3 linked regions of the Saccharomyces cerevisiae S288C genome follow. The gene in region 3 interacts genetically with the main gene of each other region. Each region holds a gene or a part of one and is shown on either strand. Other genes may lie near its edges.

What was found.
Region 1: mutations in IES3 (region 3) and ROX1 together harm fitness more than expected from each alone (negative genetic interaction), as found in Saccharomyces cerevisiae (2 studies listed by BioGRID).
Region 2: mutations in IES3 (region 3) and ITC1 together harm fitness more than expected from each alone (negative genetic interaction), as found in Saccharomyces cerevisiae (4 studies listed by BioGRID).

What each region holds. Positions count from the first base shown.
Region 1 is NC_001148.4:678,174-682,622, forward strand, and holds ROX1 (Rox1p), read left to right. Parts: upstream 1-1,519; coding exon 1,520-2,626; downstream 2,627-4,449. Other genes in the region: YPR063C (uncharacterized protein), read right to left, coding at 1-20, 107-147; YPR064W (uncharacterized protein), read left to right, coding at 778-1,197; NEDD8-activating protein UBA3, read left to right, coding at 3,040-3,939; ISA2 (Isa2p), read left to right, coding at 4,047-4,449. UniProt on the Saccharomyces cerevisiae protein: Transcription factor that represses the expression of HEM13, COX5B, ANB1, CYC7 or AAC3 (hypoxic function). Binds to the DNA sequence 5'-RRRTAACAAGAG-3'.
Region 2 is NC_001139.9:256,202-263,324, reverse strand, and holds ITC1 (Itc1p), read right to left. Parts: upstream 5,619-7,123; coding exon 1,824-5,618; downstream 1-1,823. Other genes in the region: DNA-binding E3 ubiquitin-protein ligase SNT2, read left to right, coding at 1-1,677; PCL10 (Pcl10p), read right to left, coding at 6,361-7,123. UniProt on the Saccharomyces cerevisiae protein: Functions as a component of the ISW2 complex, which acts in remodeling the chromatin by catalyzing an ATP-dependent alteration in the structure of nucleosomal DNA.
Region 3 is NC_001144.5:243,876-249,505, reverse strand, and holds IES3 (Ies3p), read right to left. Parts: upstream 2,306-5,630; coding exon 1,553-2,305; downstream 1-1,552. Other genes in the region: OSW2 (Osw2p), read left to right, coding at 1-789; NRS1 (Nrs1p), read left to right, coding at 1,080-1,406; FCF2 (Fcf2p), read left to right, coding at 2,529-3,182; EMA19 (Ema19p), read left to right, coding at 3,434-3,919; MLO50 (Mlo50p), read left to right, coding at 4,334-5,620. UniProt on the Saccharomyces cerevisiae protein: Probably involved in transcription regulation via its interaction with the INO80 complex, a chromatin-remodeling complex.

The DNA of each region.
Region 1 (4,449 bases), on a different chromosome or scaffold from region 3:
GTGGCGCAATTTTCTTGTACCTGTGGTAGAAAGGGAGCGGTTGAACTGTTAGTATATATTGGCAATATCAGCAAATTTGAAAGAAAATTGTCGGTGAAAAACATACGAAACACAAAGGTCGGGCCTTGCAACGTTATTCAAAGTCATTGTTTAGTTGAGGAGGTAGCAGCGGAGTATATGTATTCCTTTTTTTTGCCTATGGATGTTGTACCATGCCCATTCTGCTCAAGCTTTTGTTAAAATTATTTTTCAGTATTTTTTCTTCCATGTTGCGCGTTACGAGAACAGAAGCGACAGATAACCGCAATCATACAACTAGCGCTACTGCGGGGTGTAAAAAGCACAAGAACTAAGCCAAGATCACAACAGTTATCGATAAAATAGCAGTGTTTGCATGGCCATTGAGAAGGACAACATTGGCGTGCGCGCCAATGTTGTCTCACCATGTAGCTCCAAACGAGTTGTAAGAGACGGACCGCTCACGCTTCCGAAGCGGTCAGAAAACGCTTCCCAGTATGCAGTTGACCTACATTCAACCTGCAAATATTGCTTTGCTTCAAGAAATGATTACACAGACGTCTATTTTCTTCTACATAATGCACGAAACTTGGGCATTTAGTCATGTAGCCGCCTAGCGAGCCTGGGTGCCGTCCTATCTCCTTTGTTCGTGCAAAGAGACAGGAACACACACTGCGTTCTCTTGCGGCCGGTCTGGCGGACTCAGGGGTGCGGCGTTTGCTTAACCGGAGGGAATAATAAAATCGGGGTGACGCAAGTATGAAGTCATGTGTGCTTAGCAATTACGTAGAGGGATTAGAAATAATAGTGTGCGGTTATCGGAACCGGCTCTTGTTCCCGTTTAGAGCAACCCAGGTGCAGGCGTACTTTAAAGTATTTTCTTTCTTTTTTTTCCTGCTACTTACGCTAGGAGCTGCCGCAGCTGCAAAGCCGACGTCGGAGAGGCAGGTGATCTTCGGCTCGGCCGACAAATCCCCTGGATATCATTGGCCTGTCGAGGTATCGGCCGCGTGGAACTACCGGGAATTACTATGCAAAACAATTGGAAATCTGGTAGGAAAACCTTGTTCTAGAACTTGGCGATTGCTGACAAAGAAGAAAAGGGCCTATTGTTGCTGCCTCTTTTGTTGTTCTTCCTCGTATTGTCTTGCCGGTGTTCTTTGTGTCTTTTGTGTGTAGGTTCTTACTATTATAGTGCTCTTTGCTATTATATTTTCTTCGTTTTCACTTTGCGTAATGTAACGGTCTTAAACAAAGTTTTTTTTTTTTCGCTCTTGCATTTTCCTTTTCTGCTCTATCTTATTTGCTAATTGTAGTTTCAGAAGTTTTACTTAAATATAGCACTATTTTCCAGTTTTAATGTTTCTTCTCATTGCTTTCTTTTATAATTTTCGCATATAATTATACATTTACGGTGTCTTAACTCTCCCTCTTCACCCCTCATTATTCCAGAAAATACTAATACTTCTTCACACAAAAGAACGCAGTTAGACAATCAACAATGAATCCTAAATCCTCTACACCTAAGATTCCAAGACCCAAGAACGCATTTATTCTGTTCAGACAGCACTACCACAGGATCTTAATAGACGAATGGACCGCTCAAGGTGTGGAAATACCCCATAATTCAAACATTTCTAAAATTATTGGTACGAAGTGGAAGGGCTTACAACCGGAAGATAAGGCACACTGGGAAAATCTAGCGGAGAAGGAGAAACTAGAACATGAAAGGAAGTATCCTGAATACAAATACAAGCCGGTAAGAAAGTCTAAGAAGAAGCAACTACTTTTGAAGGAAATCGAGCAACAGCAGCAGCAACAACAGAAAGAACAGCAGCAGCAGAAACAGTCACAACCGCAATTACAACAGCCCTTTAACAACAATATAGTTCTTATGAAAAGAGCACATTCTCTTTCACCATCTTCCTCGGTGTCAAGCTCGAACAGCTATCAGTTCCAATTGAACAATGATCTTAAGAGGTTGCCTATTCCTTCTGTTAATACTTCTAACTATATGGTCTCCAGATCTTTAAGTGGACTACCTTTGACGCATGATAAGACGGCAAGAGACCTACCACAGCTGTCATCTCAACTAAATTCTATTCCATATTACTCAGCTCCACACGACCCTTCAACGAGACATCATTACCTCAACGTCGCTCAAGCTCAACCAAGGGCTAACTCGACCCCTCAATTGCCCTTTATTTCATCCATTATCAACAACAGCAGTCAAACACCGGTAACTACAACTACCACATCCACAACAACTGCGACATCTTCTCCTGGGAAATTCTCCTCTTCTCCGAACTCCTCTGTACTGGAGAACAACAGATTAAACAGTATCAACAATTCAAATCAATATTTACCTCCCCCTCTATTACCTTCTCTGCAAGATTTTCAACTGGATCAGTACCAGCAGCTAAAGCAGATGGGACCAACTTATATTGTCAAACCACTGTCTCACACCAGGAACAATCTATTGTCCACAACTACCCCTACGCATCATCACATTCCTCATATACCAAACCAAAACATTCCTCTACATCAAATTATAAACTCAAGCAACACTGAGGTCACCGCTAAAACTAGCCTAGTTTCTCCGAAATGATTTTTTTTTTCCATTTCTTCTTTCCGTTATATTATATTATACTATATTCCCTTTAACTAAAAATTTATGCATTTGGCTCCTGTTTAATAAAAGTTTAAATCGCCTCAAAAGAACAATTGAAAAATATGTAAAATAACAGCAAATAAAAGTCAAAATTAAAACAAAGTACCCAGAGACAAAAAAGAAAGAAAAGAAAAAAGAAACAGTCTACAAATTCTATTTGAATATATAAAATTATATTCTCAATTTTCACGTATATATTCACCTCACAAATAATATCATTCCTTTAAAAAAAAATATGTATTATTGTATAATGTTTCAGCATAGTCGTTTTTTAAGCCCTTTTTTTTAAACTTAAAAAACAAATCAATGAGATATTGTATACCTATATTATCGATAATAAAGCGACGAGGATGGACTGCAAGATATTGGTGTTAGGCGCAGGTGGTCTAGGATGCGAAATCCTGAAGAATTTGACAATGTTAAGCTTTGTTAAACAGGTTCATATTGTAGATATAGACACAATCGAGCTAACCAACCTTAATAGACAATTTCTTTTTTGTGATAAGGACATAGGCAAACCGAAAGCTCAAGTGGCAGCCCAGTATGTAAACACGCGGTTCCCTCAATTGGAAGTTGTGGCGCACGTACAGGACCTGACCACTTTGCCCCCGAGCTTTTACAAAGACTTCCAGTTCATAATCTCGGGGCTGGACGCCATTGAACCTCGTCGCTTCATCAATGAGACTCTCGTGAAGCTTACCTTGGAGTCCAATTATGAAATTTGCATCCCGTTCATAGATGGTGGAACAGAGGGGCTCAAGGGACATGTAAAAACAATCATTCCAGGCATCACTGCATGCTGGGAGTGCTCCATTGATACCTTGCCCTCGCAGCAGGATACTGTGCCAATGTGTACAATCGCCAACAATCCTCGCTGCATTGAGCATGTTGTGGAGTATGTCTCAACTATACAATACCCTGATTTAAATATTGAGTCTACGGCGGATATGGAATTTCTGCTGGAGAAGTGCTGCGAAAGGGCTGCCCAATTTAGCATCTCAACAGAAAAATTATCAACAAGTTTTATCCTGGGTATAATAAAGAGTATCATACCTAGTGTAAGCACTACGAATGCGATGGTTGCAGCGACATGCTGTACGCAGATGGTTAAGATTTATAATGATTTAATCGACCTGGAAAACGGCAATAATTTCACTTTGATTAACTGCTCAGAAGGGTGTTTTATGTACAGTTTCAAGTTCGAGCGGTTACCCGACTGTACTGTTTGTTCAAATTCCAATTCCAACTAGTATTACTAATGAATAATACCATCCGCCGGTGTCACTTGTTTAAACATCTTGCAAGTAAGTCGAGATCCTAGAGAGCCTTGTACATGTGATTGCACAGTAAAGAAGGTATGCAGGCTAAATTATTGTTTACCAGACTAAACTTTAGACGTCCCTCCACAACTTTACGCCAGTTTCCCCTAACATGTTTTTTATTTCATAGCAAAGCATTTTACTCGGATCTGGTCACTAAGGAGCCGTTGATCACACCGAAAAGAATAATAAATAAGACGCCTGGGTTAAACTTATCTATTTCTGAGAGGGCTTCCAACAGACTAGCTGAGATCTACCGCAATAGTAAGGAAAATTTAAGAATTAGTGTGGAAAGTGGTGGATGTCACGGTTTCCAGTACAATCTAACTCTAGAACCCGCTACCAAGCCAGATATTAAGAATGATGTCAAAGACAAGGAGTTTTCAGACGACCTTGACGATGATGATTCCAAGGATATAATATACGTGTTACCCGAAGATA
Region 2 (7,123 bases), on a different chromosome or scaffold from region 3:
GCCATCCCTGAACAAAAGCCAGAAAGAGCGAAAAACACAAAGGACGAATTTCCCGTGAACATAATTCGACAATCACCTGGTACTATCAAAACAAGTGATACAAGCCGAAATCGCAAGTGCAACGATGTATTTATCGAGAAGGCTAGTAATAACAATATTCCTAAAATCACTAATGCTTCGAATGATTTGATAGAAATTTCAATTAAAACAGGCGGCAGTTCTTCTGGTTCAGTGTCTGTAGATAAAGGTTTTAAATTTGTCAAATTTGATAACAAAACATTTCAGCGATTACGGAATAGCTTAAAGTTAGTGAATAATAAGCTGCCAAAATATAATGAACCTTCAACGAAGAAGATCAAAATGATCAATGACATAGCGTTAAGTAATCCGTTAAACGAACCAAACGGGGCATCGTACAATTATACAGTTATTTCACATTCTAAGGAAACTTCTGTCGCCCTTGAAAAATACCATGATGGTAATAAACCGAGCAAAATGTTAGAGAAAGACATGATTTTGAAACACACTAAGAATAAACCAAAAAATCCTGATACAGCATGGGCAAATAATAGCGCAAGGACTTTTTGTAGTGTCTGCAAAGAAAAATTTAACGACAATGACAACTATGAGGTAGTATGTGGTAATTGTGGACTTACAGTACACTACTTCTGTTATGCTATTAAACTGCCGAAAGATATGAAGAAAAACACTAACCTTAAGACATTTAAATGGTTATGTGACCCTTGTTCAAATGACCTCAATCCTATAATATCAACGACCTACCAATGTAGTATGTGTCCTACGAAGGACTATGACTATGATAGATATAGGAGCCAATCATTTAAAATATGTCCAGACGCATTGAAATGCACGAGCTTAGGGACATGGGTGCATTTGGTTTGCTCACTTTTCAATGAAGATATCAAATATGGAAACGGACAATCAATGCAACCTGCCCTTAATACCACTGCTGTGCTTATTAAACATAGTAGATTTACATGTGGTGTGTGCAGGATAAATGGAGGTGGGTTAGTGAAGTGTAACAAATGCCAATATAGGTATCATATTACATGTGCACAGAACAGCTCCAATTTTAAGCTTATGTTTGAAAAGAAAAATATGTCTGTAGACACCACTCTACCGTGCATAAAGGATGTCAAGCTTAACGATACATACACTTTGAGACCTATACTAATATGCGATAGACACGATATCAGCTTAGAAGGAAACGAACTTTATCCATTATCGTACAAGCCTCAACATACTCTGTCATACATAGAACAATACTGCAGATATTATAAGTGCGAATCTGACCATAGTCTAGTGGAGTTGAGATATTTTGAACAGCTTAGACTGCGACACGGCGAAATGCCAGGAAACTCACACGACTCTGCTATTAAACCCAAAATTTACGTACTTCCTTTCGAAAGGACTTGCCCACATTGTGGTACAAACAAAAGTTTATACTGGTATGAAGATATTATTTGCCATTCTTGCAATTTGAGATCAGGTGCCCAAGAACTCGATTTTGATAGCGCATCTGCTAATATCTCTAACGATAACGGTTTACCAGTCGAAATTACCCAGCAATTGATGGAAGGAATTGAGCCAGCTATGTTTGATATCGATATTTCAGAAGCTGGTACCGACAAAAATACGCATCCATCAAGCCAGTAAGTGATAGTTACCTTAGATAGAAAGTATGGTCCAATCTTGCGCGGCTTTGTTGTGTTATTTTTTTCCATTATGCTTACAATGAATAATCTTATCCTATTTATGAATACTACAATTTACCATCAGTTACAAAGGAAGTTTTTTATATATTAATTTGGGGCAGGTGTTACTGTTCTTGAGGTTTGGCCCACTATATCTTTTAATTTATCGTCTACTGTTTCAATGACACCACTCCTTTTATTACCAGATGCATTTTTGCGAAGTGAGGAACCCCATATCGAATTTGCTAAAACGTTTTTCCAAGCTATCACATCTTCCATAGCTTTAAAATGTCTATAATTGACTAAGTCAGTCAATATTTCAATCTGCTTATTCACCTTATTACCACGGGAGATTTTGGTTCTTTTCCTTTCTGAACGGGCTAAAATCCTCGCGCCTGGCCTCTGCGAATTTATTATGGATTTTTTCTGTTCCAAGAGTTCATCTCTCTGATCTTCTAATTCTTGTATTCTATTAAGAACATTGCGTGTTTTCGAGCTATCATCTAGCTTCATGAGTTCGTCTGCAATCACCTCCAACTTTTCGTCTATCACAGCTTCTCTCTTCTCTTCGGCATCAACCTGTACATCAACCTCACTTTTAACACCGCTATTTTTATCATCAACATCCATACTATCAACGTTCAATTCGTTTTCGGTAAATTCATTATTTTCTAACTCCTTTAGCAACTTTTCTTCATTTTTGGTGAATGCTGTCAGTGACAGCGCATGGTCGCGCAAGCTAAGGGAACTTTTAATTCGTTCCATTATGGGTCTGATTTGCCTCAAGAGATCATGCTCTTTGCGACCCCAATTATCTAACCAGTCCATTATTCTTGACAAGTCCTCTAACTTGTCAATGCAATACCATTGATCTGGTGATAGTAGCAACCTTGAAGGTGTTTCATCCATAATTTTCTTTTGAATAGGTGTCAGCTCTATAAGTGGGTTTACGCGATCATTACTGTCCAATAGTTCGACCTCTATTCCATTTTCTACGTAATTATAAGATCCGGAACTAGTTTTGGAGATACCAAATACTTCCCTAGTTGCCTCGGATATTCCTTCGGAATTTCTGATTTTTTGCCAATTGCTCAATTGCTCATCACTGACGTTCAAAAAGAATTTCGCCGATGATGCTTTAGGTCCCTGAATTAATAAACGACCGGAGTGATAACTCAAACTATTGTTACTTTTCGGCGTCTCATTCATACCAGCAGGATATTGAGGAAATGGAACACCATTGTGATCCAGCCAAAAATACCTGTTCCCGTATCGATCCAATCCCAACGGCTTTAATCTTTGTAGATCGTTTTCAAATAGACAATTATCGAGGAAATTTTTATCTGATTGTAAAGCTTGTACCTTTTTATCCTGCTCTTCAATTAACTTTTGCTTTTTCTCAATGATAATAAGATCAATTGGTTCACTATTTGATTCGGAATCATCTTTTTTATCGGCACCATCGGCTGATGGTGTGTTTTCATCTGTTTTATTTAACTTCTCTTGAATTGCCTGCAGGTCGCCTTGAAGATTACTTAAGACGGCTGCCTCCGTTTTCAACTCTCTCGCAACTTTGAATCTTTCGCTACGAATTTGACCACATAGTTCCATGGAATCATCTACAGCAGCTTTGATATCTGGAGAAAAATGCGATACGAGATCTACAAGTATCCACAGCGCATTGACTTTGTCACTGAACGACAGCTTTCGACAGAAATTTCTCCAAAGCTGTTTGGGCAATTGAGTAGCTGATATATCTTTGGGTATGATCTTTTCTATGAAAGAATCAATAAACTCTGTATACATGGGAAGATGTCTACAATCTTCTAAGACTCCCAGTAAAATTATTAGCCAGTAACTGTTATTAAATTGCCTTTTCGTCAAGCGTTCTATCCAGTTAACATTGCGGTAGTTCAAACACTTTTCTAATTTAGGATCTCGTTCTTCACTGTCAGAATCAGATTTAGAATCAGATTCTGAATTTGTTTCGTTTTTAGCGTCTGATTCTTTTTGAACTTCTGTTGCGTTTTCCTTTAATGTGTCCTTTAGGTTGTCGATCTTTTCCTTATCTTGTAAAAAGTATCCGTGAGCATTTCGTTTTTGCTTCGCCTCCCCCTCCCCTCTTTCATCTTTTCTCTCCATAAGGACTCCCTTGTCGTCTATTATCCAGTTTTCAACGACGATGCAACTCCAATCGCCTTCTTCGTTGATGAACAAACGTAAGAGCGCAGTAAAAACTTCAATGAGAAGAGCAGACCCATTATGATTGATATTATCAAGTATATCATCGGATGCTGGGTCATCGTGAACAATCTTGTACTCAACCTTGTCGGAATTTCTTTTCATTATCATATCACGAATAAATGAATTTCTTTGCCAGTCACTTGGGTTTTCAGAGTCTTCCTCAGTAGTAGTCTCTGCTTTGTTTTTCATCGGCAGGCCGTTATTTTCAATTTCTTGTTCTTTAGACGTTTGCGTTCTTATGTTCACTAAAACAACTTCGCCCTTTAACTCATATGGGTCTGTACATTTCAAAGAAGTAATGAATTGGTCAAGGCTAAAATGAGAGAGACAAATTTTCGAACCAAACGTATTCAGAAACTGATAGGCTTGTAATAGCTTTCCAAAAGAATCAAAAGGTCTGGAAAGTTTTGTAGAACCTAATGAAATACATTCTAATTTTTCATTATAATACGTTAAGTTTGGAAAGATGTTCGGTGGATGTTGATATGGCAAAGCTAGGTCATCCATTATGCTCGTTATTGTTACAGCCTGAGGCTCCGCATTAGCTGGTGTAGGAACGCTTTCGACGTTTTCCGTGTTCGGTTCCTCATTGGCTTCCTTTTTCCTTTTTTTAGAATGTGTTTCTGATGTGACATTTTGACCCTTCTTCTTGTCTTCTTCCGAAGAATTATTCTCAGAATCATTTACTTCGGTTGGCTTTCTTTTTTTCTTGGTTTCTTTTTTGTTAGAAGCATCGTTTGAGGTGTTACTTTTACCCGATGATTTACTTTGACGTTTATTCTTTTCACTTTCTGGGGATGAAACATTGGCACTGTTGGAACGTCTTGCTACGACAGGTTCATCTTCTTTATATTTTAACATATCTTTTGGCCATTCCATCGTTAAACCATACATCGCTAAATATTCCGGTTTGACACACCAAGGTGCACCCATTTTCGAAGATGCCCTCTGTAAAGTAATCTTGAAAAAACATTTGATTAAGTGCTTAGTGAAAGTGGAACGGTCCCTGTAAATTTGTCCTTGATCAACAATGAAGGATTTATTACTGGAAGCTGCTTCTTCTATCAGCATGTATTTAGTATGAGCGGGCATCACAATTTCCCTGCTCTCTGGATTTATCGTTGCGTTAAATTGGACCTTTTCTTTGATAACATAACGTCTTTGGTATTGGTACTGCGGTAAGCCAGGATTACCAACACTGTTGATTTCGACCATATCATCAGGTTGAGGAGTACTTTGTTGGGAATTAGAGCTTGTGGTAGAAGAGTCTTTCTGTTTACGTAGATAAACAACTTCTCCTGGGAAAAAGTCATTTTTAAATCTTGCGTAAACTTTCTCCACCAATGCATCTAACCTTCTTATTCCGTTAAAATGTAAAAATCTTGCAACTGGTTCTCTCAACTTTAATGGGAATCTGTCTTCGACGTATTTGAATTGTGTCTCCTCACTATCCAGAGCTTGGAAAAAAGTCAGGCAAGAAGTACCAGTGATTTCGCATGTAAAATGGTGGCGTGTGTAGAAATCAAACCTTTCTAAAAATTCTTCGTAACTAGAAAACCATTCTCCAGTCTCTTCAATATGCCATACTTGTACATTCAAATCCAATGGTAAAGGTTTTGGATCAGGAAGTAATATAGGTTTCCTTTTATATAACACCATTGTTTATTAACGGCTTTCTTTACTTCCTCCTATTGTTATTTTCTTTTTTTATATATCTTCAATGGAAGTGCTATAGTAATTGTAAAAATCTGGATATATCTGCCTATTTCCAACAGTAATTGAGTGTGATGTATCTAATGTCAGTTGAATTGTTTACAGCCTTTTAAATAGTTATGTATTTAACCCAATATATGTTTTTCTGAATTTTTTCAGGAGAAATACAAAGAAAAGAAGAAGAGCAAGAAAGAGGATTTTTCTGATCGGTATTATCCTTTTTATTTTTTTTCTATTTCTACACTTTTTTTCCTCTATAATTTTCCTTTATTATTTTTCATTTCGGGTTTTCTCACCACGTTAAAAATGGATAATAAACTTAAAAGAAATAAAACCATGAAATATTTCTATTTTAAGGTTAGACAATACAGAAGGGACAGAGAAAGATGTGTAGGCAAATATACATTTGTTTGAACCATAGATTCAACAGTAATTTAATGCGAGTAAAAAAATCACATTTTTATGTGCGTTTCGAGAGCATCAATTAAGAATCCGGGATAACTGTTGGGAAGCTCTGAAGTTTTCTCCAATATCGAGTACAGGTTTCCACCATTGCACGGAAATATAAACAGACTAAGTTTGTCGTTGTTTTATTGAGAAATTGTTTGTATCATATTACCAGTGCCGCTATTGACTGGAAAGCATTCGTTACGTTCGTTAAAATAATTATCTAAAATACTTGTATCAACTATACACAGAAGGACCGTAGTTCATTCAAAAGTAATTTGGAGGCGGCTAATTTCCTGTTACTGACCATTAATTTAGTATTGCACACACAGATCAATAGACTGACTTCTAATTTAGTCAAAAGCCGTTTCGAAATACCGCATACTTTACTAAAATATTCATGTGAGTGAACGAAATCTTCCAATAATTTCGTGCTCAATCTAACCGCTGCTATTATCATTCGATGGACCTCCTTTTCCTGTAAGTTTAACTTCAACTGCAAAATGTTATTGCCATCCCTTGTTAAAAACAACGTGTCAATTAAAAATGTTGCCACAAGGTAAACAGTTGGCTGGTACTCACATTTGTCTTGGATTCTCTTGAGAAAATCTGCTGATGATAAGGTGGGTTTACTTTTCATGTAGAAATTCGAGTATTCTTTTTTCTCCACTCTAGTATTGAAACCGGTACACTTTCTATTGCCACTAAGTTTTAGTAGTAGTTCTATGGTTTCCTTGAAATTCGCCAGAGCTTCATCAACCGATATGTGGGGCACTTCTACATCAACCGGTATGCCATGTAGCAACGGGTTTTCACTTTCGGACTTAGTTTTTTCTTGATCTTCTTCTTCATCGTGTGGTAGACTGATATGCAACCCTCCCATATCAAAGCTTGTAATGCTGCTACATTCAGAAAAAATGGAGTCATCAATATCTTGCTCCTCCACATCCGTAGCATCGCCAATTTCGAAACTGGCAGTTGGAGATTTGAAGAGTGGTGATCTA
Region 3 (5,630 bases):
TTGTATTTAGGTGCAGAATACATTAGCAATTGCGACGCAAATACATCTGGTGGTCAAAAACGAGTAAAATCTCCAACTAAAGCAGATACAGGCTACGATGATAAACACTTGCCTGATGATACGATACATACATTTGAAGATGAATATTTGGCCGATGAAGACGACTTTTCTTGCCTTGGAATTGACAAAAGAAGCTCAACAAAGCCCACAAAGCCTCTAGAAAAATTTGGAGTGGTTGCTGTGCCACACTTCATCAGGAGGTTTTCTATTAAAAGGTCGAGTAAGGATAAATCAAATGATATGAAAAGACCATATACTACAAGCAGCTTGGAGTTGCAATTAAGGTCAAATCACTTTATGTTCGCCAAAGAATACCAAGACTTACATAGACAATTATATTACGAAGTTAAACCAAGGACGCAATCAGAATTGGACGCAAGACGTCGAAACTATTCTGAATTAGAATCTCAGATGTGGAAAATTAAACATCGGTTCAATATTCATAGAGGAGCACTGCCTCGTCCACGAACGAATCCGTATGAGCTATTACTGGACCACATTGATGTTTTGAACCGTGGCAACACTGGGGATATTTTGAGATTTACCACTAGTAGATACGGTGGTGTAGATACGTATGATTCCATCTTGAGGGACCAATCCACGATCATGGAACTTTTAGATAAACGGTGTGCCTATTCACCTCCAGTACTGTTCGATAATGAGGCTAAAGAACGTGATCATGATCGCGATTGTTATCAAGATTACAATCACGACCACCGGAGTCATTAATATTAAAAAAAAAAAATGTGATTGTTAATAAGGGGTGGGATGCGCGAAATTCTATGCCTACAGTAGAAAGCGGTTGTTGCACAAATGATTAAATCTTTATCTCCAACTCACAATACTATCGCGATAGATGCATAATATGTGCAGCTTCTAAACAGCACGGAGTGATGATAAATACGCATATATGTATATATATATGTATGTGCATATGCACGTCCTTTTAAAACTCAAAATACAACATTCTTAGTAAATCCTTTTGTTGACACACGTCGGAACAACTCAGGACGGAGTTAATGGATATGCTTCATAATAAATGTAGTGATGCTATCAAAAGCACCTCCAATAGCAATTTGAGTAATGAGGTAGACAAACAAAAATTGCAATACGATGACCTCGGGAACACCGGATTTTCTGAACTATTTGAGATGGAATCTCAAGATAATAATGATAGCATAGAGGATTTCTTGTTCTTTAATATAAATTTAACCCAGGAGGTTGAGTTCGAGAACCAAAGACAATATGAGCACACGAAAAAGACAAAGAAGCATAACCCATTCTATGTACCGTCAGAGGTAGTGCGAGAGATGGTCAAGAAACACGCATTGAATGGCAGAATATAGTTAAGCCCGATAACACATTCTATTTTTCATGTTTTAATAACGTTTCATATATGAATTTTTCTCAAATATACGATATATACCTAAATGAATATGCATATGGAAGTGAAGTTGGGGATTTTGCAAACTTGTCTTATGTTAATCTTGGCTTAAAGAATGTTTTCCAAAAGGCCGTTCTTATTAATTTTTCTTCTCTTGGTTCTGTTAAATGCTAGTGAATTCGCATTGACGTTCGTTGGTATGGCTACTGCTCCGAATGCGATTGGATGGCTTGCCTTCCTGCCACGATTACTGAACAAATCGAGTTCTACATTTGCATCCAACAGTAGTTCTTTCAATATAAACCACTTTCTTTCTTTCTGTGAAAGTTTTTGGTACTCTTCAAGCAAGTTCTCTTGGATTTTGGTCAGTATATCAATTTTTTCATCATCTGATAAGTCAGGGTCCTCAGTTTCTTGGTCCTGCTCCGCTGCATTTAATGTTACAATTTGGTCATTGACAGCTTGTAAAAAGTTGTCATTCATAGCGTAAAGATTGTCCTTGTACAACCTTGTCTTGAGGGTGCTTATATCTATCTCATCTTGGTTAGCGTTCGTTATTACATTCCCTGGAGAATTCTTTATCATTTCATAGTTCATTTTCGATATGTCATCCACGGCAACAATGTGTCTTTTGAATGTCGTGGTGTTTGTGTGAGTGGAAGCAGTTGAGGCGGCATTTGCATCGGTAGCTGTAGATGGGGTCGAAGAACCTTGTTGATTCAAGCCATCTGCGTTATGAAATTTTTTGTGATGTGGGTCTTTCTCCAAGAAATCTGGAGTTTTGACACTTTTGTAATGTTGAGTAGCTGCATGAGCAAACTGCACCTGTTTATTGGTTGCCAAGAGGTCTTCGAACTTCATTGTTATGATTCCATTGAAGACAGCTATGTCAGTTAACAACGCAATTCCCCCTTTCACACGAAAACCTTTTCTCTAAACATCCTTCTCTTTTATCATAATTCGTGGTTAGTGCCGGCCTAAAAATTTTTCAGCATATTAAAACAGAAGATAGAAAAGAAATAGAAAATGCGATGAGACGTCAAGTTTTCCAATTAAAGAGGACGTGAGAAAGGAGCTGTTAAACATGGATCAAAGTGTGGAAGACTTATTTGGAGCACTAAGAGATGCTAGTGCCAGTCTAGAAGTAAAAAATTCAGCGAAGGAACAAGTTTCTCTTCAACAAGAGGATGTTTTGCAGATAGGCAATAATGATGATGAAGTAGAAATTGAAAGTAAATTTCAAGAGATCGAAACTAATCTTAAGAAGCTTCCTAAGTTAGAAACCGGATTTGATGCTTTAGCAAACAAGAAGAAGAAGAAGAACGTCTTGCCTAGTGTGGAGACAGAAGATAAAAGAAAACCCAACAAGAGCGACAAAAACGATAATGACTGGTTTACCTTACCAAAGCCAGATGATAACATGCGTCGTGAAGTTCAACGAGATTTATTGCTGATTAAACATAGAGCTGCTCTTGATCCAAAGAGACATTATAAGAAGCAACGTTGGGAGGTGCCAGAGAGGTTTGCTATTGGTACCATAATTGAAGACAAGAGTGAGTTTTATAGTAGTCGTATGAACAGGAAGGAAAGAAAGTCGACTATTTTGGAAACACTCATGGGTGATGAAGCTTCTAATAAGTATTTCAAGCGTAAATACAACGAAATTCAGGAGAAATCTACGAGCGGTAGGAAGGCACATTACAAGAAAATGAAAGAGATGAGAAAGAAGCGGAGGTGAGATAATGGAATTTTCTTCGCCACGTATTCCATATAGTATATTGTAAAGTGGTTTAGATTACATAGAAATATTCAAAAGAATTAATAATTTGCATATCGTTTAAAAAAAAAAAACCTTTGAAAACATAGTAAAGAATTATCGGCTTTTGTACAGGATACGAATTAGTAGGTATAAAAGGAACAACCGCAGCAAATAAGTACGAGAAACGAGCCACTCACGTGAAAACATATAGAGAAAAGCGACCGGAGATAATGAAGCTAGGACATCGTGAGCAACAATTCTACTTGTGGTACTTCATCGTTCACATTCCCATCACCATATTCATCGACTCATCAGTGGTTATTCCCGCTAAATGGCAACTAGGGATTGCGCAAAAGGTTGTTAGTGATCACATCGCAAAGCAACACGATTTCCTGCTATCAGAGAAACCAGAATGGCTATACTGGTTTGTAGTCCTTGAGCTAGTTCTGCAACTACCCCTTTTCGTCTATTTCGTCAATAAATTCTGGAATTCAAGCGAATTACAAGTTAATACAAATAGCAGATTGAAAAAGTGGTTGCGTATCTATGGCTGGAATGCCTCTCTAACTACCTTGATATGTATCGTTGTTATTTTCAAGCGTGGTTACATTCCTTACGATGTGCTAAAAACAAGCTTGTCCATGACCCAGAAGTGTCAGTTAGCCTCGGTGTACCTACCTACATTCCTAATTCCTTTGCGTTTGTGTTTTGTGTAGCCTGTGTCGGCTATATATACAGTATTAGTGACTATATAGTTAATTAGTGACATATGCCACTAGTTTTATCTAATTATTGTGCTGCGTTTTGCAGTATTCTTTTTTATTTGAAACGCGTCACAAAAGTTTCGCGTCCTTAGGGAAATGGCTGGTTTTTGTTTTAAAATAGTATATTATCCTTGATGTAATTTAGCAAGAGTGTATTGTAAGGGAACAGTCTGTTACTGCCATTCCCTCATCGCTAGATCCCCCTTCCCTCGCTTATTCCGTTACTTTCGCTTTACTGAGCCATAACCAAGCGCACGCATACATATATATATATATATATATTGTGCTGCACGTATATATAAATAAATCACGCGTACAAGGATACGTTAGCCAAATTCTTTGGATATAACAAAACAGCTACAACTCATGGTTAATAATATCATGCACGAGTACGTACCACCCAGTCAGCGGCTATTCCATAGCAGGCATAGAATAACAAGAAACGATTTGAAAGAAGAGGCCCTACATTCCGGGACCACAGATTGGACAACAATTCTGGACACAACAATAGATAAAGATACTAATCTCATTAGTTATGCTGTCCCCATAATAGACAACTTTGCCATTCCTCGAGCAAACTCTCAGGGGAGTCCTGTGGCCCCTTCGCCGAATCACAGATCAACGATGTACTCTTCTTCATCTTCTTCTGCGTCTTCTGTGTTTTCTGATGGTTTGTTTACTCCAAACAACAACAGGAACTCATCAGGATCATCTTCATTAGTCATTAGACCACAAAAAAATTTGAGTGTAGATTCTTTGATTCAGGAAAATAAAAGGAAAATCAATAGTGAAAAAGAATCGTTATCATTAATTGCCAATAATAACGATGAAACCTTGTGCACTCATACTGATCCATCCATACAAAACCTCATTAAATCGGAAACAAAGAGGAACATCTTAAATTTAAAGTTTCAAAATAGAAACTTATTTCGAAGAGAACTAAAATTGGAAAAGTTTTGGAGCAATTTGAGAAGTTGTCATACATCTGGCGATGAGACGGACCTGCTGTTGGTGATAAGTAAGCATAACTTATATTGGTTTGGGATACCGAACGATTTTCGTCTTCCAATATACAAGAGATGTTTATATCACTATAGCGAACTAGACGAAGCCGGATTTTTCAGTCAGTATGCGAACAACTCATTGTATCTAGCAATAAGGAAATGTTGTAACAACGAAGAGCAGGAAACTCTATCCCGGTCTATTTTCATCAATTTGACGAAAAACGTTACCTGGTTGAATAGTCGTTTCGATGACAATAAGGACAACAAGAATTCTTACACGGTTACTGAGGGGAAGTTCTATCAGGACTTTCCTAACTTATACTACCATTTAAAGGACAAGTTGAAATTAAATGTGATAATGGATTTCATCAAGCCTGTAATAAGAAATTTTATGACCAACGCATTGAATAAGCACAAATTAGATGGTATTGGTCTAGAACTTTTAGATATTCTAATAGTGACTACCTATTATGGTCCGAATAAAATCAATGCTTTCTTAATGGATACATTTATCTTAAACTTGCTAAAACAGTGCCATTACAAGTTTTTTGTCAGTAATATCTCTGAGCTGGTTATTCAAATTTCTAAAATCGATTGTGACTTAGTCATTCTGCTAGAAGATTTAAGGTCACGGATTGATTTAGATTGAGCAAGGGGTA